Canis lupus familiaris: one gene and its partners. The protein of the gene in region 1 purifies or fractionates together with the protein of each later gene. This does not show direct contact. Links are inferred from orthologs where the notes say so. Each region holds a gene or a part of one and is shown in the gene's direction. Other genes may lie near its edges. The genes, in order: TLE1, FOXG1 and HES1.

Region 1 (7,729 bases):
TGGTCACTTCCTTGCTGGCTCCCTCCTGCCCTGCAGAACCAGGTCCAGAATCCACAAACCACCAACCCTGCGGTGGCTCAGTGTGGCCTCTCCCTCAGCAGACCCCACCTCGGGCCTAGCAGAGCCTCTTTGTGCCACAAACCCCTGTCACTTGATTGTTTCTGGTCTTGTTTTTTTGACTGAACCACAGGAGTTCTCTCTAAGAGAGAACCTTGAGCTGACCTTCAAGGCAGGGTCCTGCGGAGTGCCCATGGGTCAGCCTCAGAAGTTAGTGGTCTCTGCTCAGTGCCCCCGAATCAGGAGGATGGTATGATCCTTCATCTCTGGGAGTCCAGATTTCCTAACGCAGGGCTCTTTCTAACACAGAAAGCGAGGTTGAGTAAATATGTGAGCTCATGCTGTGTTGGCATGGAGGGCATTGCCTTGTGGACTCCCTCATGGAAAAGGGAGTGTTTCTGGGACCCTGAGCTGGTAATGTACTGATGCAGGCCGACGTCTTTCTTTACAGAATACGCTTGGGATTCTGTGTGTTTGTCCTTCTTTTTTTTTTCTTTTAACACTCAAACACTTTTCCAGACCCGGGAGGAATTTTACCTTCCAGACGGATTTGTAAGAAGAGCTACAAGAGCGCATTTAACTTCTCCTGTGTGATGACCTAAAATGGCATTCCATTTCTTTAGCACTTGGATCGTGAAAAAAGAAAAGGGAAAAAAATCTGCAGGTGCTGTTTCCTCCTCGGGGGAAGGTTAGTTTGATCTTGCACATCAGCAGACACTGAAGAGATGACACACACACCCCGCGTCCAAAACTAACAACACAACAGTGTTTACCTTGAGCTCTGGCAGGAAATCATTATTCAATCTCGTTTGTTTTATCAGGCAATTCCAGGGCCACACAGATGGGGCCAGCTGTATTGACATTTCTAACGATGGCACCAAGCTCTGGACGGGTGGCCTGGACAACACGGTCAGGTCCTGGGACCTACGCGAGGGGCGCCAGCTGCAGCAGCACGACTTCACCTCACAGGTGATGTGCTTTTCCCCACAGGAATCTCTGAAGTGGCCTGTGTGTGATGTCTTCCTCCCTTCATACCCCGTGGCAGTAATTATGAGGCAGACAGACTAGCCTTAAATTTGAGATACCCATTTAAAACAAACAATAAAAAAACCCCACAAACAAAGCCTCTGAAATGCTTAGCGTGGTTTCTAAAACTTTGTCAGTAAGACCTGTGAGTTTTACTTATATGTGAGTTCACCGCAGGAACTTGTTCAGCAAAGGACATACAGTTTGACCTGCTGTACATATTCCCATCATCTAGTGTGGGGGGTGAGAGGTCATTATTGGATCCACATATAAACAGAGCTTGAAAAATGTGCCGGGTTATCATGAGGAGTCAAGAAAAATCACAACACTCTGAAAGTTAATTCATTTCCCTTGCATAGGGGAGCTTAAAAAATGCAGCAGCATCTCAGTGGTTGCCCATTTTCTTATTCATCCCTCGGAAACTGGACTCGTGGCTGGCTAGATTTATGGAGGTTTGAAATTACAGGAAATGGCAACTTTGTGGGTCATGGAGATGAGTTAGATATCGAGTATCTGAATCTAGACTTGTTCTGGGAACAACGGTGCCATTCTAGGTGTCTTCTGACGGTGGGATTGATCTTTTGATCATTACTCGTGTATAGCTGTGCATAATTCTAAATTTTGTGTCCCTGTTAATCTTGTGGGGAGTCTCTTAGAGTCTTCTCATTCCAGCCCTTTTCTCGGCATGAGTTAGGCTACTGTTTTTGGTCTGCCTTTTAAAAAAAAATAACTTCTTATGGAAAATTTCAGATATATACAAGTGGAGAGAATGTCCTAGCATATGGAAGTAAGAGAAGTATCCGATAAACCCCATTTGCTCATTACTCAGCTTTACAGCTGCAAACCCATAACTGGTCTCATGTATCATCCCTGCCCCCCAAACACTGGATTGTTTTAATGTAAATCCCAGACCTCGTGTCATTTCATCCATAAGCATTTCAGGGAGTATCTGCAAAGGATAAGCACCACGTGAAAACATACACACAGATGTCATTATTAGTAAGACTCATTTCTTGGGGCACCTGGCCAGAAGAGCATGTGGCTCTTGATCTCGGGGTCGTGAGTTTGAGCCCCACATTGGGGGTAGAGATTATTTAAGTATGTAAACTTAAAAAAATACTTTTTAAAAAATAATTTCATTCCGTGTGATGTATGTATTCCAAGTTTTCTGATTGTTTTCATAAAGGTTTTTAACACATAGTGTGTCTGTGTTGGGTCTCTTGTCCCATGGACTGTACTACAGACTGGAGTTTGCTGAATTGCATCTCCTCTTCTTTGCTAATTTACCCCCATTTCTTGTTGCCATTTTACTTCTCAGTTTATTGGGCAAAATCACTAGTGAGCCTGTTCTGCTTCCTACAGATCTTCTCCCTTGGATACTGCCCAACTGGGGAGTGGCTGGCCGTGGGCATGGAGAGTAGCAATGTGGAAGTTCTTCATGTAAATAAGCCTGACAAGTACCAGCTGCATCTCCATGAGAGCTGCGTGCTGTCCCTAAAATTTGCTTATTGTGGTGAGTGGAGCTGAAAGGAAACTGGAGGATGCCAGTGGCCTCAATAGAAAATACTTCTAAAAAAATACAGTGGAGATCATGTCTGGAAAAAATGTTCTCTGAGCAGCTGGATGCAATAATTCTATTGTCTTAATATGTCCCTCAGAGCATAGTGATGTCCGTTTCAACCCATTTTCCTAATATGAGAAAAGTCAGTAGGTAATGCTTGCAAGGTTTTGACAGATTTTTTTATTATTATTGTTATCATTATTATTATTATCATCATTATCATTATTATTTAGCGGGGGAGTCTGGGGCCGAGGTGGAGGGCAGTTAGTTACCACTCTAACGCGGGGAGGAACTTACAGAAGCCTGGGGCAGGCACACTGGAAGTCACTTTGGATTGAGCAGGATAGGGAATGAGGATCAGAGAAGGGATTATTTAGCTTCCCCCACACGGTTATATGCTGCAATGAAGAAGAGGGAAGAAGTTCATGTGGAGTCGGATTATTTGTTCTTGGAGCGGACTGAGGGATGAGTGGCCATTATCACTGAGCACATTCCATGTGCCATATATTCGTGTCTGGCATTTTACTCAAGTTCATCATTTAATCCTTCCTAGACCCATTTCATCATGAGGGAAGTGATGAAAAGGACAGTAGCTTCATCATCTCACTATTTGAGGACCCACTGTGTGCTGAGTGTTCCGAAGTGTATCTGGTGGCTCATGGGGCTGACACAGTCCCTGCCGCTTTGATAAAACCCAAGACCACAGGTGGTTCACGGTGGAGCCCAGATTTAAAACCTGATCTCTCCCCTCACGTCCCAGCCAAAGCCATTGCACATGATAGTTCATGATTAGAAATGCTCTGAGTTTGTTTTAGTCTGGGTTGCTAATAGTATAGTAGGTATTTTAATCTTGCTAAACCCCATATTCCTTTGCTGACTCTAGGTAAATGGTTTGTGAGTACTGGCAAGGACAACCTTCTCAATGCTTGGCGGACCCCCTACGGAGCTAGTATATTCCAGGTGGGTCAGTGCCCCTTCCAGGAATGGCAGTTTGATGAGGGCATTCTCCATGACTCCAGAAGTGAAGGTGCCTGGGGGAGGAGCAGGGTCTCTGAGCATCGCCATTCACAGAAAATCTTTGCCCCTTGTTTTCTCTTCCAGTCCAAAGAGTCCTCATCTGTGCTTAGCTGTGACATCTCAGTGGATGATAAGTACATAGTCACTGGCTCAGGAGACAAGAAGGCTACAGTCTACGAAGTCATCTACTGAAAACATGGGTTTAACGTTTATAGTTGAATCGGGCCAAAATGTTTTGAATTTGTAGAAATAGAAAAGTTGTAACTTTAAAAGGAAAAAAAAAAACCACCATGAAAACCTGTTTCCAAACCTTGACACAAAACTATTTTGAGTCTACAAAGAGGAGGCAACGAGTCCCATCAACTGAAGGTCACCGATCTACCTAGACCAAACGGACACCGAGGCAGAGTGGACAGAGGGGCCAAGGGCTGTAGGCAGAGCCTGTACTTTCCTTTCTGTGTGATCTGCCTAGATTACCTTTCTGTTCCTTGCAGTTCCCCTCACGTTCTGTGCTTGGTAGAGCAGTGGTGTCTCCAATGAACTTGTTTCCTGGTTTTGCATCTTGTGAAATGTTTTTTTGTATTTTTGTTGAAGGTTAAACATTTGTATAAATTGTAAATATATTTGGTTTATTACAGTAAAGGCTTTAGTACCAATAAGTGGTTTTCCCTTTCCTTCTTTTCTGTTTCTATCAAAGCTTTGGGATCATTAATGTAGATTTTATCAGCAAAGTCCACACATTTGCAGAGGATGTTTAAAAATGCACTTTTGAATTTGCCAATATATTTGCCATGGCACCTGATCAACACTTCTGAGTTCCTGGGAACTCAAGACTAGGAATAGTCAGTCCTTGAAGGTTTGCTAGTGACACTTTTATTTGGGAAGCTAAAATAACTTCATCAGGATTCATGTTTCCTTTTTTAAGATACGCTTGTGATTGGAGGTCACAAATTAAAACTCTGCTTTTTCCTGGTGATTCATAGGGAGACAGAATATTCTCTAGGAAAGGCCATCTTCAAATCTTTCTTGGCACATCTCGAGGCTTGTGGGGTGACTTGTGTCTAGTGTTATGATCAATGATGTTCACAAAGCTGTGGAATTCGTTAACCTGTAAAAGAAAGATGGGATGCCAACTGGTTTTGTCTCTTTAATATTTATTTAATCTATTATATGGATTGACTTAAGCCAGTCACACCCAGCACTCAGCCCCATTCTTCTCATTAAGGCTTTCCCCTCAGCTTCTAGCCATTGTGATCTCTCATTAGTCTGGTCTTGCTCTTGGTGGACAAGCTTTTATTAATTTGATTAGATGAAACCTTAACGTTGGCCATGCATGTTTCCTCCTGAAAAGGCTACGTGGCTCACTTCTTCGTATACCTATTATTTGCTGTTATATTTTAGAAAAGAACGGTTAATATTTTTAAGCCAAGTTTCCTGGCTATTTAAAAATAGCACCTAAGGAATTTTTAATGTTCTTGTTTTCTTAGGATCCAGCAAGTTGTTGGCAGTTTGTCTTAATATTTTTCATTTGTTATCCAGACCTTCTTGTTTTTATACATTTAACAACGTTATTTTGTTTGCCTTTTGCCAAAATAATATTTGTGTATGCTGAGAGTTTGTTAAATATTTTCTCTTCTCATTAAGAGAATGGCAAAGCCCTAATTACGGAAGCTGATTTCTCTCATCCCTCCCCTGTATAATGAAGCATGTTTCTGTACTACATATGCTGATGGCTTATTAATGTAGTATTTATCTTTTCTGTTGTCTCTTCTTACCTGACTTCCCTATTTTCTATAATAGGAGGGAAGCACTTAAGTTGCTAGAACAGAGACCCCCAATGCAGTGGCTTAGAGACCACGGGAGTTTGTGACTTCCCCTAGAGACCTGAGCCAGTGGTGCAGCGCTGTGCTTTCATGCTGGCTTCTGTTGCCCCCACTCCCAGCCAGCAGTGGGGAAAGTTAAAGTCCAGGGGACAGATAACCTTTCAAGCAGATGACTTAAGAGTCTGTTCATTATTCCTAATTGGCTAGAACTCAGTCACGTGGGAGACTGGGAAAAGGGATGTCTTGCTTGCTGTGCAGCTAGCTGTGTGCCCATTAAGAAGATGGGGTTTTGAAAGGACTCTAGGTTAAAGAAATAGCCCTGTTTTCTCTTGGTGCATTTTTTTCCTTCCATGCTTTCTTGTTTCTCAAGCTTCGGATATTCTTTCTCTAGTTATATTTTCTGAGGGTGTAGACCTTACAACTCCTCAATTACCGTGAATCTAATGAAACCGTCTCCATTTGCTAGTGTGGTGCTGAAAGAGGCATCTTAGCGCAAGTCCTGCTCCTCTGCTCAGGGTGTTTGGAATCTTGGGGAATTGCCAAGACAATTGTTTCCCTCCTTGTAAAATGGGAATGATACAATAGTTGTGCCTGCCCCTCTGAGTCTAGGGGATCAAAAGCAGGACTGAGTGGCAGCTCTCTCACAATTGGAGGATGTGAGTGGGAAAGCAATTTTTTCCTAAACTGAAATTAGGAGTCATGCTGCTGTCCCCAAGGAGTCTGGAATCATGGGATTGTTGAAACCCTGGTAAGCCAAAAGTTAGTATACTCCATGCTTTGAATATGGATTACAAATTCAGGTTTAATAAATTCAAATTCAACTAGATATTGGTCACCTCTATGTGCCAAAAATGGTACTAGGCAGTTTCACCCATAAACACATTCGGAGATGATTGTCATTATCCCTAAATGTATTTAATTCTGTTTTTTTTTTTAAGCACTTGCAGTCTTTGCACCTTGAATGTAGGTTTCTGCCATCTGGCTCTTCCATGGAATTGAAGTTTACTGGGTAAAAATTGAAATCCTAGTGAGATTAGATTTGGAATGTCTTTTTGTAAAACTAGATGTTTCTAGCACTCCTAATAAGGATAAAATATTTCATCAATATGATAATTAGCATTTTTTTAAGGTTGTGCTATTTGCCAGGTGATAGGGAAGTGTTTGACATAAATTATAATCTTCACAGCATTTGAGAGATGGGATTTTTTGATGGCCTAATTTTTTTTTTTTTTTTTAAGATTTCATGACTGGTAAGTAGCTTCTGGCTTTAAAGCCATCGAGCATTCATACAGAGATTTTTTTAAAATGGCACTTTTGCTGTTGGCACACAGAGGTTGTGACTTTCCCCAATGAGTTTTCCAACAAATCAGAGAGAGATCAAATTCTTAACTTCAGCATGCTGTTTCATGCCATCAGGAGACTGCTGCCTCTGTCATCAGCTTGAAATTGAGTGATGACATTTCAAACTCCATTCTGCTGTAGATCCATGGATTTTTTTCTTCTCGGACATCTCTTCACTCCTCGCTCAGCAATGAAAGTGTCAGATTACCACAGTTTCGGGCTTCCCTGAGCAAACTGTAGTTTGAGTGAGGGTTATTTTCTGCTCTGGGGAATTTACTCTCCAGACACCCAAAGCTTTGTTTGGCTTCATATTTTGTCCTGGCACTTAAACAGTTAAATGCTTATGAGTTGGGTTCATATTTCTAGAAAAGTTGTTCTCAAACTTTAATGGGCATCAGAATCACCAGGAGGAACAGATTCAGATTTTGGGGTCCCCAACTCTTGAGTTTTTGAGTCAGTAGATCGGGGTGGGACCTGAGAATTTGTAACTGTCCACGTTTCCAGTTGGTCTTGAGGCTTCTGGTCTGGAGACTACACTTTGTTCATTGTTCATCTAGAGCAATAGTCTTTATAATGGAGCTATCGGTGTTTTAAAAACCTTTTAGAGTGGATTCGTAGTCTCTTGCCTGGATCTCTCCCATCTTTTAATCTTCAGGGGTAAGGAGTAGAACTAAAATGACAATAAAACATAAGACCTACTCTTTGGAGGTGGCTGTTGCATTAGTTTTTGGTCCCCAAACTAACTTTTGAAGCTGAATATTATAATACAAATGCAAATTGAGTACTTTAAACAGTTGCTTTTGCACTTAATCTTTTTTTTTTTTTAAGATTTTATTTATTCATGAGAGACATAGGCAGAGGGAGAAGCAGGCTCCCTGTGGGGAGCCCAATGTGGGACTAGATC
Region 2 (8,092 bases), on another chromosome or scaffold:
TCAACACTTTCCTTCCTGCATATCAGAGTACAAATAGTATAGTTACTCCACATCAGTAAATGTTTACGTAACCTGTCCTTTCCCAAGAATCCGGTTACACCGAATCATTTCACGCTAGACCGACTACGAAAACGTACCGGGCCGTCCACCTCAGAGGGAGCCCTTGTGTGCCATTATAAGTGGTGATGAGAAGGGGGGTTGTAGGGGGAGAAATGGGGAGGAGTAGGTGGAGGAATGGAGCTAGGGAGAGGAATAGACTGAGGAGAAGGGGGGGTAGTGAGTGGGGAGGAGGGAGGAAGAGGGGAGGAGGGAGGAAAGTGAGTTGAGGAAAAGTAGGAATAACAGGCCCGAGGCAGGGGGAAGAGTGAAAGGAGGAAAGTGAGCAGAAAGAAGAGGAAGGCTCACAGATCTGTCCAGCCGGCCCACAAAGCCCATTAGCTCACCCAGCTCTGTAAGAAATTGGAGCTTAGAAGTCAGTTTGGGGCTCTGTCACCATCAACGTTGATAGCTGGGACCCTTCAACTTTCCCACATGAAAATATAGATTAAGTGAGGAAATAAGTAGAAATGGGAGGGGGGGGATACATACATACATACATACATACATACATACATACAGTGGAAGGACAGATGCAGTTAGTCCAATGTTCAAAGTTTCTTTATGGTATTCCTAACAGATGTAAAATCACTAGCTATTGGTAATCGTCTGTTATTCAGAGTTTATTCTCTCTTTCTCTTCCTCAGGATTTCAAAGTAGGGAGTGGGGTGCCCAGAGAGAGAGAGAGAGAGAGTGCCACAACCCCATATGAACTTGAGTATTCTTGTGTTCATCAACCGAATTCTTTTTATTAGAATTGAACTTTGACATCACCTCTTCTCCCTTCCTTTTCTTAAATACTAAATCCGCCAATTTAATTGATAGTTTATCAGAGTGCGTGAATGTTTACATTTTATGATGATTTTGCAGAGGAGGGGGAAAGTGCCTTTCATTTATGCTTCTCCTCCACCTCCCTCTTCTCTAGGGCTACATCCTCCGTAAAATGTGGTATGTTTCGTACCCATGTGGGATGAAACAGCCTTTGATCAGTGTGCTCCGCACCAAATTCCAATCCCTGGGAAATGCTGGGCCTTAGCCCTGCCCCTGGCCACGGGATCCTTTTAAAGCCCCCGAATCACAATCTCCCCACTCACTTCAGTCCTCAGCCGAACCTTCCCAGTTCGAAAGCCCAAGAAGCTGGGGCTGTGGGACCCACGTACCCAGGGCTTCTAGTTGCCTTCCGTCCGCATTCGGGGTGGGAAAGGCCTGGCTTCGGCATGCGGTTCTTTCAGCATTAAGGCCCGCACAAATCAAAAGCGTTTGAGAAACGGAAAGAAAAAAGAAAAGAGGGAGTGAAAACAGGAAGGCTTTAAAAAAAAAAAAAAAGAAAGAAATAGCCGCCCACCCTTATTTTCCTTCCAATGTCAACAAGCAAAATGAAACATTTCCAGGGTGATCGCTCGCGGCTACTCGCTTCCAATTCGGATTAGAAGCTGAGCAGACGCTGGGGCGGCGGAGAGAAGGCGACACCGGGTCACCCAGCGTGTGAGCGACGGTCCGGAGCAGGAGAGGAGGGGAAGGAAGAGAGAGACACAGAGGCAGAGCATGTGTTACCTGGTTTATTTCGAGACTGTTTGGTATTGTTCGCTGAGCACCCCTCCTTGCGGAAGGCTACCCTAGGCGCCCACCACTGAGCCGCCCCCGCCCGCCGCCGCCGCCGCCGCCGCCGCCGCCGCCGCCGCCGCCGCCTCCGCGCCGGCAGCCCCAGGGCCCGGCTTCCCCGCGGGCCCGAGCCCCGAGCCCCGAGCCCCGAGCCCCGAGCCCCGAGCTCGCCGCCGCCCGGCCGCAGGAACCGAGTAAGTAGCCCCCGTTTGGCCCCGCGCTCGCCAGCCCACTCCCTCCGCCTCATCCCTCCGTCTCCGACCCTCGGCCGGACCCGCCGCCCCCCCACGCCAGGGGTGGGCCTTCCCTCGCCTTCCCTCCCCTGCCCTCCGAAGCCTCGCCGGGGTGTTACCTACGAGGGGCACAGTTTTCCTACGGGCTCGGCAATGCCGCCCCGGGCCTGGAGGGCCGACTCGGGGCCGGTCGCGCCTCGCCTCTTCCTCCTCCACTTCCTGCCCTCTCCTCGCACCCCGTCCCCGCACTCCCACACTCTCCGCCCCACCGCCGCGGCCGCCCCCGCCCCCGCCCCCGCCCCCGCTTTTAAAAATGAAATGGAATACAAACTTTAATCAATAACGACAAACATTGACGCTCAAACGAAAATGGCCCGACACGGCGAGGAGGCAGCCGGAAATGTGAGCTATCTGCCCTAAGAGGGGGACCTCGGCGGAGCGGCCCGCAGGGCGGAGGGGGTGGCGGGGGCGCCGAGAGGGCCGCGGCGCAGCGTGCTCCGGGCGGCGTATCCCTACGCGGCTCCGCGCGGCCGCGAGGCCCAGGCCCGCGGCGAGGGGGAGGCGAGCGCCGAGGGGGCGGGAGCCGGCGGGCGGGGCGGGGGTGGGTGGGCCCGGGTCCGCCGATTGGTCGACGGCGGGAGAGACGCTCCCGCACGCCGCCGGCTCTGATTGGCCGAGCGGTAGGAAAGGTTAAACCAAAAATTTTTTTACAGCCCTAGTGTGCGCCTGTAGCTCGGAAAATTAATTGTGGCTATAGCCGCCTCGATCGCTGTCTCCCCAGCCTCGCCGCGGCCGCTCCGGGACGCGCCCGCCCGCCGCCCGGCTCTCCCCCCCTTTGGGCTGCTGCTGCTGCTGCTGTGACTGCTGCTGCGAGAGGAGGAGGAGGAGGAGGAAGCAGCAGAAGGGGGGGGGAGCGGGGGGTGGGGGGGAGACCAAGAAGTAGAGTTGGGAGCGAGGGAGCTTCACCCCCGGGGCGGTGGTTGTTTCTTTTTTCTCTTTCTTTCTTTTTTTCTTTTCCCTTTTTTTTTTTTTTTTTTTTCTTCTAATTCCTGAGGGGTGGTTGCTGCTTTTGCTACATGACTTGCCAGCGCCGGAGCCTGCGGTCCAACTGCGCTGCTGCCGGAGCGCTCAGTGCCGCCGCCGCCGCCCGCGCCGCCCGCGCCCCGCTCGGCACCCACCGGTCGCCGCCGCCCGCCGCGCCGCTGTCCCGCTCCCGCGCCGCCGCCGCCGCCGCCGCCGCCGCCGCCGCCGCCGCCGCCGCTTCCCCCCCGACGACTGGGTGATGCTGGACATGGGAGATAGGAAAGAGGTGAAAATGATCCCCAAGTCCTCGTTCAGCATCAACAGCCTGGTGCCGGAGGCGGTCCAGAACGACAACCACCACGCGAGTCACGGCCACCACAACAGCCACCACCCCCAGCACCACCACCACCACCACCACCACCACCACCACCCGCCGCCGCCCGCCCCGCAGCCGCCGCCGCCGCCGCCGCCGCAGCAGCAGCCGCCGCCGCCGCCGCCGCCGCCGCCCCAGGCACCGCAGCCCCCCCAGGCGCGGGGCGCCCCGGCAGCCGACGACGACAAGGGCCCCCAGCAGCTGCTGCTCCCGCCGCCGCCGCCGCCGCCGCCGCCGCCGCCGGCCGCCGCCCTGGACGGGGCCAAGGCGGACGGGCTGGGCGGCAAGGGCGAGCCGGGCGGCGGGCCCGGGGAGCTGGCGCCCGTCGGGCCGGACGAGAAGGAGAAGGGCGCCGGCGCCGGGGGGGAGGAGAAGAAGGGGGCGGGCGAGGGCGGCAAGGACGGGGAGGGGGGCAAGGAGGGCGAGAAGAAGAACGGCAAGTACGAGAAGCCGCCCTTCAGCTACAACGCGCTCATCATGATGGCCATCCGGCAGAGCCCCGAGAAGCGGCTCACGCTCAACGGCATCTACGAGTTCATCATGAAGAACTTCCCCTACTACCGCGAGAACAAGCAGGGCTGGCAGAACTCCATCCGCCACAACCTGTCCCTCAACAAGTGCTTCGTGAAGGTGCCCCGCCACTACGACGACCCGGGCAAGGGCAACTACTGGATGCTGGACCCGTCGAGCGACGACGTGTTCATCGGCGGCACCACGGGCAAGCTGCGGCGCCGCTCCACCACGTCGCGCGCCAAGCTGGCCTTCAAGCGCGGGGCGCGCCTCACCTCCACCGGCCTCACCTTCATGGACCGCGCCGGCTCCCTCTACTGGCCCATGTCGCCCTTCCTGTCCCTGCACCACCCCCGCGCCAGCAGCACTTTGAGCTACAACGGCACCACGTCGGCCTACCCCAGCCACCCCATGCCCTACAGCTCCGTGTTGACTCAGAACTCGCTGGGCAACAACCACTCCTTCTCCACGGCCAACGGCCTGAGCGTGGACCGGCTGGTCAACGGGGAGATCCCGTACGCCACGCACCACCTCACGGCCGCCGCGCTCGCCGCCTCGGTGCCCTGCGGCCTGTCGGTGCCCTGCTCCGGGACCTACTCCCTCAACCCTTGCTCGGTCAACCTGCTCGCGGGCCAGACCAGTTACTTTTTCCCCCACGTCCCGCACCCGTCAATGACTTCGCAGAGCAGCACGTCCATGAGCGCCCGGGCCGCGTCCTCCTCCACGTCTCCGCAGGCCCCCTCGACCCTGCCCTGTGAGTCTTTAAGACCCTCTTTGCCAAGCTTCACGACGGGACTGTCCGGGGGACTGTCTGATTATTTCACACATCAAAATCAGGGGTCTTCTTCCAACCCTTTAATACATTAACATCCCTGGGACCAGACTGTAAGTGAACGTTTTACACACATTTGCATTGTAAATGATAATTAAAAAATAAGTCCAGGTATTTTTTATTAAGCCCCCCGCCCCCATTTCTGTACGTTCGTTCAGTCTTTAGGATTGTTTATTATTCTAACAAGGTGTGGAGTGTCAGCGAGGTGCAATGTGGGGAGAATACATTGTAGAATATAAGGTTTGGAAGTCAAAATTATAGTAGAATGTGTATCTAAATAGTGACTGCTTTGCCATTTCATTCAAACCTGACAAGTCTATCTCTAAGAGCCGCCAGATTTCCATGTGTGCAGTATTATAAGTTATCATGGATCTTTATGGTGGACGCAGACCTTGAGAACAGCCTAAATTATGGGGAGAGTTTTAAAATGTTAAACTGTAATTTGTATTTAAGAAGCATTCGTAGTAAAGGTGCCCAAGAAATTATTTTGGCCATTTATTGTTTTGTCCTTTTCTTTAAAAAAACCGTTTTTTTTTCTTTTGTTTACTTTTAGACCAAAGATTGGGTTCTAAAATGCACTTGGTATGCTAAGTATTAAAAAAAAAAAAAAAAAAAAAAACCACAAAAAAAAAAAAAAGGAAAGTTGTTTCAGTTGGCAGCACTGCCCATTCAAATGAATCAGAAGGGGACAAAATTAATGATTGCCTTCAGTTTGTGTTGTGTATATTTTGATGTATGTGGTCACTAACAGGTCACTTTTATTTTTTCTAAATGTAGTGAAATGTTAATACCTATTGTACTTATAGGTAAACCTTGCAAATATGTAACCTGTGTTGCGCAAATGCCGCATAAATTTGAGTGATTGTTAATGTTGTCTTAAAATTTCTTGATTGTGATACTGTGGTCATATGCCCGTGTTTGTCACTTACAAAAATGTTTACTATGAACACACAGAAATAAAAAATAGGCTAAATTCATATATATCTTGATACTTTTGTCTCTTTTATTAAATAGAGCTAATTTTTAAAAGACCATTAAAGTCCTAGGGAATTCAAAGGCTTTTTCGGCCAACTAAAATTTAACTGCTCCTTTCATTTGAATTGAGACTTCAAAAAAATTAAAATACCTTTTTTTTTTCCCCATTGTGGAATCAAATTTTACAAGGAGCAGGCTATTTGATAAGCACTAGCTTTAAAGAAATTACAGGCTTTTCAGCTGGTATCTTCAAGTTTCTGTAGATATACAGCAAAAAAAAAAAAATTATAATTTTATGTGCATAGCTATTTTACCTTGTGTTTATTTTCAAATCAGTTGATAGAATGCTTACTTTTTATATATTTTGTTTCAGGTATCTTGTTTATAGCATTTGGCAAATTATAAATAAATATATGTATATGGTTAGATAGAAGTGAATATAATGCACACATATGTAATATATATATAGATATATATATATATGTGTGTATATATATGTAAACACACAGAGCCCTTCAGTTCAGGTACAATTTGCGCTATGAATGCTGCAAATATTTTTGTTTAAATATTTGTATTTATACTTTCTAAGTCAGCATTTATTTTTGTGGCTGTTTACCCACAATGAAAGAGTTCTAATAAAGATGTGCTGAAGTTGCAATATAGATTTGCTGAAGTGATCACCTGTTGTAATGACTTGCAGATCAATGTTTATATTTTATTTTTAATTATAACAACTTAAAATTCTAGATGTTCAGAAGAAGTAAAATGCCTCTCTCTCCTTTTCTTTCATTTTTACGACATAGAGGTATTTATTTGATTCCCTTTTAAATGTCTGTATAATTTAATCTAGAGGTTTGTTCCTTTTGCTTAGTCATAATTTTGCTTTAACTTACAGTATGCATATGCATGCGTATATATGCATATATATCAATCTGAAACAAAATGAAAACATTTTTTGAATTGTTTCAGCATCTCAATTGCTATGACTGCAGAAAATAATTAGAAAACCTAAGTAAAAGGTTTAGTAACTAATTGGATCCTGTGGAGAGTCTATGGAGGACAAGTTGTTCATTTGTTACAATTGTATAGTCTGAAATGTGTTCTGCAGTAATGCAATAAGCTGGCTACTTCTTACAATGGGCCCAATGAAAAATAATCTGTCCCCAAGATGTTATCGGCAAACACTTAGAGAGTTGCTCAGGAAAAAGGGGGGGGGGGGAAAGCCTAGGAGAGAAGCAAGCGGACTCAAATAGATTGAAATAGAAATGCAGAATAGTTCTAATATTGGGACATAGGGATGGATGGGTTGTGGAAGGGAGAGACAGAAGAAGACAGAAGAAAGGAAAAGATATTTGGGGATGGGGGGGGGGAGCATCTCCCACTACCAAAAAGAAAGAAAGAGAAAGAGGATGCTGTTTGAGAAAGATAGATAAAGTTGGGGAAAATTAAAAGAGCTGGAACCAAATATACACAAATGGGAAATTGACTAAAATAGACCAAGACAGCTAGTTTAATTATCTCCTTTAAGCAGACTGGACACGATTTTGTTTTCTTAGTAAAAGAGCAGTTTCGCCAGAGGTCCAGCTTTCTTGAAATGTAACAGTTCTTCAGAATGAAGCATGAAAGAAAATTCCACAAATAAGTTGTTTTAGAAGCCAAATTTATTACTATTAAAAATAGTAATAGAGTCCAAGTGAGTGAGGTTAGGCAAGGGAAATCCCCCTCATATAAATGTGAACCAAAACAGCTCAAAGAAAAGCATGTGTTTAGACTGAAAAAGGTGATGATGTATTGTTTGCTTTTACCATGGACTTTGTGGAATGAGAATGTATTGCCACAGAAGAAATAGTCTTTTGCCTATCAAAAAGTTAAAAAGAAAGTTGAACTCTTGTATTGTGGTAAAAGGGACATAGACTCAGAAGAAAGAGTTCCTCCATGAGGTGTTTTTTTTTTTTTTTCTGGCCATATTAAATAAGTATACTTTTTTGTGATAAATGTTTATTTGCATGATTGAGAAATCAAATTTCAAGGGCAAACTTCTGAGGTCAAGCATAAAATTGACTTCTTTGAACTCATAGGACCTAAGGACTGGAATGGAAGTTCTATTTGGATACATCTCCCAAGTTAACATAGATAATGGATGTAACTAGAAGTAAGAATAGCTTGTTGAATACGCATACAAGATAGGGGGGAGGATGTACAGAGAGAGAAATTTGTGAAGGCCTCCTGAAGCCCGATATGAACATTTCATTTATCTCAATCTGTCCTATCATCTCTCAAGTTATCTTTTTTAAAAACGTACAGTGTTCTAGCATGGTGTTTAATTGTTGTTGTTGGTTTTTTTTTTTTTTTTGCAACAAATTGGTTGTAATGTTGTGTTGATATTTGTTGTCACCAACCTTTGCCAGTTAAAAATTAGCTTATGCCAGAAAAGCACTTCAAAACTTT
Region 3 (8,092 bases), on another chromosome or scaffold:
TGCCCCTGCTCTATTCAAGAGCTTTTCGTTGCTCTCCATTGTCTAGAGATAAGGCTAAAATCCTTTAGCAGGATGTTTAGGGGTCTTGCGACTTGGCCTCACGCCTCCTCCTGCCGGCCCTACACCCTGGACTCCAGACCGCGATCTCTGAATCACGACCTCAAGTTCCAGACTGTAGGGCTTTAATGCCACGGGGTCCTCCCATCCCACCCCCTAGCCCCATGACCCACATTTCCAGGGGCCCAATCCTACCTATGTTTCAAGATCCCCTCCTGGAAACATTCCAGGATGCACCCACTTATTAGCACTGGACTCATCCTAGACCTCCGGAGCACCTTACTTCTGTCTGGAGCACACAGGTCTCTCCTGAACCTGCGAGAGGCCTGTCGTGTGAAAGAGTCGCCGGCCGCGCTGGAGAGCGTGGGGTCTGGGCGCTGCAGGCCTCCTGGGGGTCCCCGGGCAAGAGCGCCCATGCGAGTGTTTAGGGCCTCCTTAGGCTCCCCTGACCCCGCAGGCCACCACCCGGGCCCCGGGAGGAGTACAGGGGCAGGCCCGGTCATCGGAAAGTCAAGCTCCTCCTCGCCGCCGGCCAGGGCACCCGCCTGCCGGTAACCCGGGGCCCAACTCGGCGCCTGGCACGGAGCGGGCGCTGCGCGCGGGGGAGGGGGCCTCGCGGAGGTCCCGAGTCGGGCCGCTGAGACTGAGGCTGCTCGGCCGGGCGGGAGCGGTGGGAGCGTTTACAACATTATCTCAGCGGGGAGCTCGGAGGAAGGAAGGAATGAAGTGTCTGGGAACCGTGTGCCAGGCCTCCGGCGGCCTCCAGGCCTGCGGCGGGGCTGGGGGGGGGGGGGGGGGGAGCGCCAGCAAACGCGACGCCGGCTCCCGGGCCCCCCAGCGTCCGAGCAGCGCGCCGAGCCCGCGGGGGCGGGGACGCAAGGGTGGGGGGCGGGGGCGCGGGCAGGGTGGAGGAGGCGGGCACGGGGGCGGGGGGCGCGCAGGGTGGAGGGGGTGGGGGGTAGGGGGTGGGGGGCTCGCGGGGAGGAGGGGGCCCGGGGTGGGGGGCGCACGGGGCGGAGGGGGCTTGGGGGGTTGGAGGGGCTCGCGGGGTGGAGGGGCTCGCGGGGGCGGAGGGGGCCCGGGGTGGAGGGCTCGCGGGTGGAGGGGGCCCGGGGGTGGGGGGCGCACGGGGCGGAGGGGGCCCGGGGGTGGGGGGGCGCACGGGGCGGAGGGGGCCCGGGGGTGGAGGGCTCGCGGGGAGGAGGGGGCCCGGGGGTGGGGGGGCTCGCGGGGTGAAGGGGATGGGGGGCGCGGGTGCGCGCAGGGGACCCGGGCGCCGGCAGGGTGGCGGGGGTGGGGGGCGCGGGGGCGTCCGGGGCGCGGGGGGCGTCGGGGGCAGAGCGCGCCGCCGGGCCGCGCGGCAGGCAGGTCCCCGGGGAGGCGGCCGCAGAGCCCCGGCGCTCCCGGCCCGGCGCCCCGCCACGTGGCACCCGGCGGCGGCGGCGGCGGCTCCTCCCGGCGCGCGGCCCGGCCAGCCGGCAGCACGCAGCCGCCGCCCGCGCCGCCCGCCTCCTCCCGGCCGCCCGCCGGCCGCCTCCCGGGCCTCCGGGGCGCAGCGAGGGGGAGCCGCCGGGCGGGGGGGGGGGGGGCGGGGGCGGGGGCGCGAAGCCGCGGTGACCGCAGCCGCCGAGCGGAGGCAGGAGGCCGCCCGGCCGCTTCCTAAGTGCGGTCAGGCATCTCGTGACCGCGGCGGGCGCCGGGGCCCCGCGGGGGGGGGCGGGGAGGGGGGAGGCGGGCCGGGAGGGGAGGGGGAGGGGAGCCACCAGGAGCGCCCGCCCCCGCCTCCCTCCGCCTGGAAGCCCCAGCCCGGGTCGGGGTGCGGGGGGGTGAGTGGGGTGAGCCCGCCGCCCCCGCCCGGAAGGCCGACCTTGGCCCGCCCCGCCCCTCCCCTCCCTCCCGCCCCGCCCGGACACACGCACCCCCGCCGCCGCGCGCGCCGACGAGCCCGCCGGGCGCAGGGGCGGGGTTTTCCCAGGCTCGGGCGCAGCAGCTGCTCCTGCCCTCCCGGCCCCCCGGCGCGCACTCGCCCTCGCGCTCGCGCTCGCACACGCACTCACACACGCACGCACACACACATCCTCCGGCCCGGCCGCAGCCGCCGCCGCAATAAAACATCCTGGCACGTGCTCCGGCCCCGGGCGCGCCCTCCCGGCCGGCTGATGTCAACCGCGGCGCGGCGGCGGCGGCTCTTAAAGGGCCCGCGCGCGCCGGGGGCCGCCGGGGGAGGGGCGGGGAGGGGAGGGGCGGGGAGGGGAGGCCGCCGCCCGGGAGCCCGTGGGCGGGAGGGGACGCAGGGCGAGGGCGCGCGCGCGGGCCTGGGGCCCCGCCATCAAAGCCCCTCTTGTTCATCTTTCATTTGAAATTCCATTTCCTTTCTGCCCGGTTGGAAATTATTCTGATTGTTTCCTGGGGAAGCGCGGGATCCAAGGCCCCAAGTGCAGAAGAGGAATGAGGGGCGCGCGAGGGGCGGGGGGGGGGGGGAGGGGGGGGGGGGGGAAGTTGCAAAAAAATAAAAACATCTTGCTCTGGAAACTCGCTCACGTAAGGTGGGAGGCACCTTTTCCTTTTAACGTATGCAAAACAAATATAGATATTTTTGCCTCTTTTCTGCATGATCGATTTTACATCTCCCTCCTCGCCCCGATGTGTAGTGTCTCAGGGGTGACTCAGTTGAATGTTTCGGTAACTCACACCCTTGCACACGGTCTCCTCTTTCCTCCCTGTCCTTCTAAACCCTTTAAAAAATTATATATATATATATATATATTGCAAATGAAGTTCTTATTAGTGCCAGAGCAGCTCTATGCTACACGTGGAAGGGAATAAAGAGCAGAGACTCTGGCCCTAAAAGAAATAAATTAGACTGGGGCGAAACCTGCGGAAAAATCCCCTCTAAAGCAAAGCCCAGCGGGGAGAATAGCAAAGGGTTAAAATCCTTTTGATTGACGTTGTAGCCTCCGGTGCCCCGGGCTCAGGCGCGCGCCATTGGCCGCCAGGCCTTGTGCCCGGCGGCCAATGGGGGGGCGCGGCCCACGAGCGGTGCCGCGTGTCTCCTCCTCCCATTGGCTGAAAGTTACTGTGGGAAAGAAAGTTTGGGAAGTTTCACACGAGCCGTTCGCGTGCAGTCCCAGATATATATAGAGGCCGCCAGGGCCTGGGGATCACACAGGATCCGGAGCCGGTGCAGATAACAGTGGGATCCCCCGTCTACCTCTCTCCTTGGTCCTGGAATAGCGCTGCCGGCCGCCGAGTGGCCCTAAGACTGTACCATAAACCCCCAGCACTTGCTCAGTCGTCCTGCGGAGGCCTCCAGTGAAAGGGACATAAACAAAGCAATTTTTTCTGTGTGTGTGTGTGTGTGAAGGACTCCAAAAATAAAATTCTCTAGGGACTTGGGGAAAAAAAAAAAAAAGCAACAGAAAATGCCAGCTGATATAATGGAGAAAAATTCCTCGTCCCCGGTGGCTGCTACCCCGGCCAGTGTCAACACGACACCGGATAAACCAAAGACAGCATCCGAGCACAGAAAGGTAAGGGCAGCGCCGCTCTCCCTGCAGCCCCGAGACCCAGGTCGGGCGTGGGGGGCGGGGGGGCTCCCTTCTCCTAACCCCGGGGTGAAGCGGCAGATCCCAGGGGGAACTCGGGGCGCTTTGTAAAAAAAAAATATATATATATAATTTCTTTGCAGTCATCCAAGCCTATCATGGAGAAAAGACGAAGAGCAAGGATAAATGAAAGTCTGAGCCAGCTGAAAACACTGATTTTGGATGCTCTTAAGAAAGATGTAAGTGGGTAATGCTGCCTTTTTTTTTTTTTTTCTTTTTTCTCTTTCAATTAAAATGAAATCCCATTTCTGGGCTACTGAGCGCGAACCCCCCTCGCTGGCGGGATCGTCCCCGCCCGCACTGCGGTCTCGGGGCCGGAGGCCGGGCCCCTCCAGGGTCTGGGGATGTCGGGGGGCGGGGAGGGGAATCCCAGGTGTCGGGGCCGCGGCAAGCGGGGGGAACCCCAGGTCTCGGGGCTGCCGTTGGGGGTGACCCCAGGTCTCGGGGCTGCCGGCGGGGAGTCCACATGTGTCGGGGCCGCCGGCGGGGTGACCCCAGGTCTCGGGGCCGCTGTTGGGGGTGACCCCAGGTGTTGGGGCCGCCGTTGGGGGTGACCCCAGGCCTCGGGGCCTCCGGCGGGGCGACCCCAGGTCTCGGCGCTTCCGGAGGGGGTGACCCCGGGTCTCGGGGCCGCCGGCGGGGCCCTCACGTCCGTGCCTTGCCTCCTGCTGTGTGCAGAGCTCGCGGCATTCCAAGCTGGAGAAGGCGGACATTCTGGAAATGACAGTGAAGCACCTCCGGAACCTGCAGCGGGCGCAGATGACGGGTGAGGCGGCTGCGCGTCCCCTGGGGGCGCCCCGTGCGCCCCGCGGCGACCCCTCCCAGACTTCCGCCCGCGGTGGAGAGAGGCATTCAGCTGCGTTTTACTGCCTTGGCTCAGCCCCGCGTTCCCACGGTCTGGGCTTATTTATAGCCGCGGCTCCAAGTTGTTAGTGTTCCGGAGAGGGGGGGCGCGGGCCGGCGGGCAGGGGGGCGCGGGGCGCGCAGCCTGGGGTCCCCTGGCCGCCCCCTCCCCCCCCCCGCCCTGCAGGAGCCAGGCCCGGGCGGCGCGGAGGGGGAAGGGCGCTGCCCAAGGTCACTAGCGCGGGGGCGGGAGCAGAGGTGCAGGGCCCCCTCCCCCTCCCCCTCCCCCTCCCCTCCCCACCGGGTGGTCCGGGCGGGGCGGGCCGGGGCCTCGGGTGACCCGCGCGCCCCCTCTGCCCGCAGCCGCGCTGAGCACAGACCCGAGCGTGCTGGGCAAGTACCGCGCCGGCTTCAGCGAGTGTATGAACGAGGTGACCCGCTTCCTGTCCACGTGCGAGGGCGTCAACACCGAGGTGCGCACGCGGCTGCTCGGCCACCTGGCCAACTGCATGACCCAGATCAACGCCATGACCTACCCGGGGCAGCCGCACCCCGCCCTGCAGGCGCCGCCGCCGCCCCCGCCCGGCCCCGGAGGCCCGCAGCACGCGCCGTTCGCGCCGCCCCCGCCGCTCGTGCCCATCCCCGGGGGCGCGGCGCCCCCTCCCGGCGGTGCGCCCTGCAAGCTGGGCAGCCCGGCCGGGGAGGCCGCCAAGGTGTTCGGCGGCTTCCAGGTGCTGCCGGCGCCCGACGGCCAGTTCGCCTTCCTCATCCCCAGCGGGGCCTTCGCCCACAGCGGCCCGGTCATCCCCGTCTACACCAGCGGCGGCGGCGCCTCCGTGGGCCCCGGCGCCGGCTCGCCCTCCAGCGGCCCCTCGCTCACGGCGGACTCCATGTGGCGGCCCTGGAGGAACTGAAGGCCCGGGCACCCTCCCCTGCCCTGCCCTGCCCCGCCCCGCCCCGGGGACACTCAACAGGAACTTGGACACTGGGAGACCAGAGGACTGTAATGATCAAGTGGTTACTTTGTTTCTTTTTTTTAATTCCTAAAAAGTTACTTTTTTTTGTAGAGAGCTGTATTAAGTGACTGACCATGCACTATATTTGTATATATTTTATATGTTCATATTGGATTGCGCCTTTGTATTATAAAAAAAACTCAGATGACATTTCGTTTTTTACACGAGATTTCTTTTTTTATGTGATGCCAAAGATGTTTGAAAATGCTCTTAAAATATCTTCCCTTTGGGAAGTTTATTTGAGAAAATATAATAAAAGAAAAAAGAGTGAAGGCTCCTATGTCTTAGAACTGATTATTTCGGTATATATGTAAAAAAGAAAAAAAAGCTCTTGGCAGAATTTGTGGATTACATGTAATCTGAGAATTCAGTCATTGGCTCTTTTGTTATTAAAAGAACATTTTAAAAAATCCAGCAGACCTTTTACCGGCCTCCATGAAGTAAATTCCACTTAATTTGCAAGAACCCGTCTAATATGGCTACTCTGATCAATTTGAGGTCAATCTCTTAAATAGGATTTCAATTATTATTATTTATTTTTTTTTTTTAGTTGCAGTTGGGTATATCATTCAGTCCTGGTTTTCCTTACAGCTCCTTCTGAAGAAGGTTGAACCAGACTGAAGTCAATCAATCGAGTAATGCGTGCCCACCACACAGTAAGTGAGACCCCCGTGGCGCCGCTTCCCTGGGGTCGCACCCCGACATCCAAAGGAAACGGATGCAGCCTCTGGCCCTCAAACGTTGGAGCCCGTTTACTTAGTACATAGGTGCAGCTAGCTGCGCAGTCCCTTGTACCGGCATCCAAAAGTTTGAAAATGCCTCTCTGCACCCTCTTCAAGCAAGCTGAGAAGGTCAACAGATTCCTTCTGCCAGGGGACAGCTAGTTAGACTCCCAAGTGGAGCCCAAGTCCAGATGATTAACACCAGACATATGTTTTTGATAAGTTTCTGCGCTTGGCTCTAATAGAGAAAGCATGTGGGGGCCGCGCTGGCAGGCACACAGGCCATCTTCCCTTTAATACAAACAGCAAGCGACCCCTTCGCTTGGTCATGCCCCATTTCCAGGCAAGATGTGGGCTCCAGATAGAAGCAAAAGGGTTGTCTCGGGTTTCAGCTCACATAACCCTCCTTAACAAGTCCTAACTCAAAGCGGACAGCTTTAAACTGTGCCAGGATCTGCAGGGAATTTCTTCCAAATCCCATCACAAAGGCTTGTCAGATTTTGTCAGATTTGGCCAGGTGTTTGACTGCATCCAGGTGTTGGGGAAATGAAAACCACGAGCCCTGCGAGACCAGACACATCAGCCGCGCTGTGGGTCTGGCGGGCGCGCCCTCCTCCCCCACCGCCGGCCAGTCCTCCTCCCTGCCCGGCCCCTCCCGCCAGCCTCCTCTCATCCCCCTTCTTTTAGAACGGCTTCTGGGAGGAGAAGGATGAGGCGGGAGAAATCAATCTTTGAAGCCTTCCTAACAAAGATAAAGCCAACGATTTTCTGTCTTGTTTCAAAAGCTTTACCTCTCCCCCGCCTTGCTCCAGCCTTTCCCACAGGCCAGCGTGGAGAGCGGCCGTATCGCGGGAATGATCTAGCCAGCAGACAGCACTTTTCTACCCAAATACCTTCGACCGACCCAGCTTTGGACGCAGAGGGAGAGTTTTCAAAGATATTTTTTTTAAATTTGGCCCCTACTTGCCTCATTATGTGAAAGGTGTCCAACACCCACCCCCCGAGAAATACACGCACATGTACACACACCCTGCTTTATTGTACCATTTTTCCATGATTTCTCTCTTGTTTGAACACAAACAAAATAGCAATTGCTCTATTAAGACATCGAACACAAGCCTGAGTGCTGCATTTGGTAAACCTGTCCTCAGGAGCCCTAGAAGTCCTGAACTGTCCTGGCATAAATAATGGAGACATCAGGGTCTCCTTTTTATAAAAATACATTTATGTTCTTTAAGAAGCCACACACCCGTGCATGCACGCGCGCACACACACACAGCGGAATCTCTACACCAACTTTAAATTAATTAAAGTTAATTCTATTCATCAAAACTACATAAATTTCTTGGGGGAGGAAGTAATAAATTTAAGGAAAAGAAGTAAATATTTGCTCTTCTGATAATTTGAAAATTGTCTTTTTTATTTTTTTCTTGGAATTTGGGTCTAGACTCTTAGAGGAGGCATTTGTTTCCATACAATGTGGAGAGAAGGGTGACACCCTAGGCCCCAATGGGAACTTTCAGGCTCCTGTGCCAGCTGCACCACTGAACTGGCTGTGTCACTTTGGATGAGTCACTTCCCTTATCTGGGACATTTCCAGGTCCGTAAAATGAGTGGGTTTATTTCGAAGACCTTGTGCCCTCCTGCACCCAGGCTGTTTCTGGAGTAATTAGTTGGGGTGGCGGGGTGGGGGTGGTGAAGCTTCAAAGACAACTGCGACTTTGGCCAGCCACCCCCACTCCGGTCTGGCCTGGTTTTACGACCTCGGGGCACACCCCGCGGCCCCTGTCCGCCCCCCCCCCCCAGGCTGTCCCGATGGTTCCCGGAGATAAGGCCCAGCGGCCCAGCT

The links.
Region 2: the proteins of TLE1 (region 1) and FOXG1 purify together in Homo sapiens (affinity purification with western blotting; 3 studies listed by BioGRID and IntAct, with this or other methods). This does not show direct contact. The link is inferred for Canis lupus familiaris from reciprocal best matches to the Homo sapiens genes TLE1 and FOXG1.
Region 3: the proteins of TLE1 (region 1) and HES1 purify together in Homo sapiens (affinity purification with western blotting; 4 studies listed by BioGRID and IntAct, with this or other methods). This does not show direct contact. The link is inferred for Canis lupus familiaris from reciprocal best matches to the Homo sapiens genes TLE1 and HES1.

Annotation. Positions count from the first base shown.
Region 1 is NC_049222.1:78,255,852-78,263,580, forward strand, and holds the end of TLE1 (transducin-like enhancer protein 1), read left to right. Parts: intron 1-878; coding exon 879-1,026; intron 1,027-2,445; coding exon 2,446-2,596; intron 2,597-3,527; coding exon 3,528-3,604; intron 3,605-3,745; coding exon 3,746-3,853; 3' UTR 3,854-4,320; downstream 4,321-7,729. UniProt on the Homo sapiens protein: Transcriptional corepressor that binds to a number of transcription factors. Inhibits NF-kappa-B-regulated gene expression. Inhibits the transcriptional activation mediated by FOXA2, and by CTNNB1 and TCF family members in Wnt signaling.
Region 2 is NC_049229.1:8,411,317-8,419,408, forward strand, and holds FOXG1 (forkhead box protein G1), read left to right. Parts: upstream 1-3,184; 5' UTR 3,185-3,213; coding exon 3,214-4,704; 3' UTR 4,705-5,648; downstream 5,649-8,092. UniProt on the Homo sapiens protein: Transcription repression factor which plays an important role in the establishment of the regional subdivision of the developing brain and in the development of the telencephalon.
Region 3 is NC_049244.1:53,004,647-53,012,738, forward strand, and holds HES1 (transcription factor HES-1), read left to right. Parts: upstream 1-3,162; 5' UTR 3,163-3,479; coding exon 3,480-3,587; intron 3,588-3,745; coding exon 3,746-3,841; intron 3,842-4,340; coding exon 4,341-4,428; intron 4,429-4,868; coding exon 4,869-5,419; 3' UTR 5,420-5,801; downstream 5,802-8,092. UniProt on the Homo sapiens protein: Transcriptional repressor of genes that require a bHLH protein for their transcription. May act as a negative regulator of myogenesis by inhibiting the functions of MYOD1 and ASH1.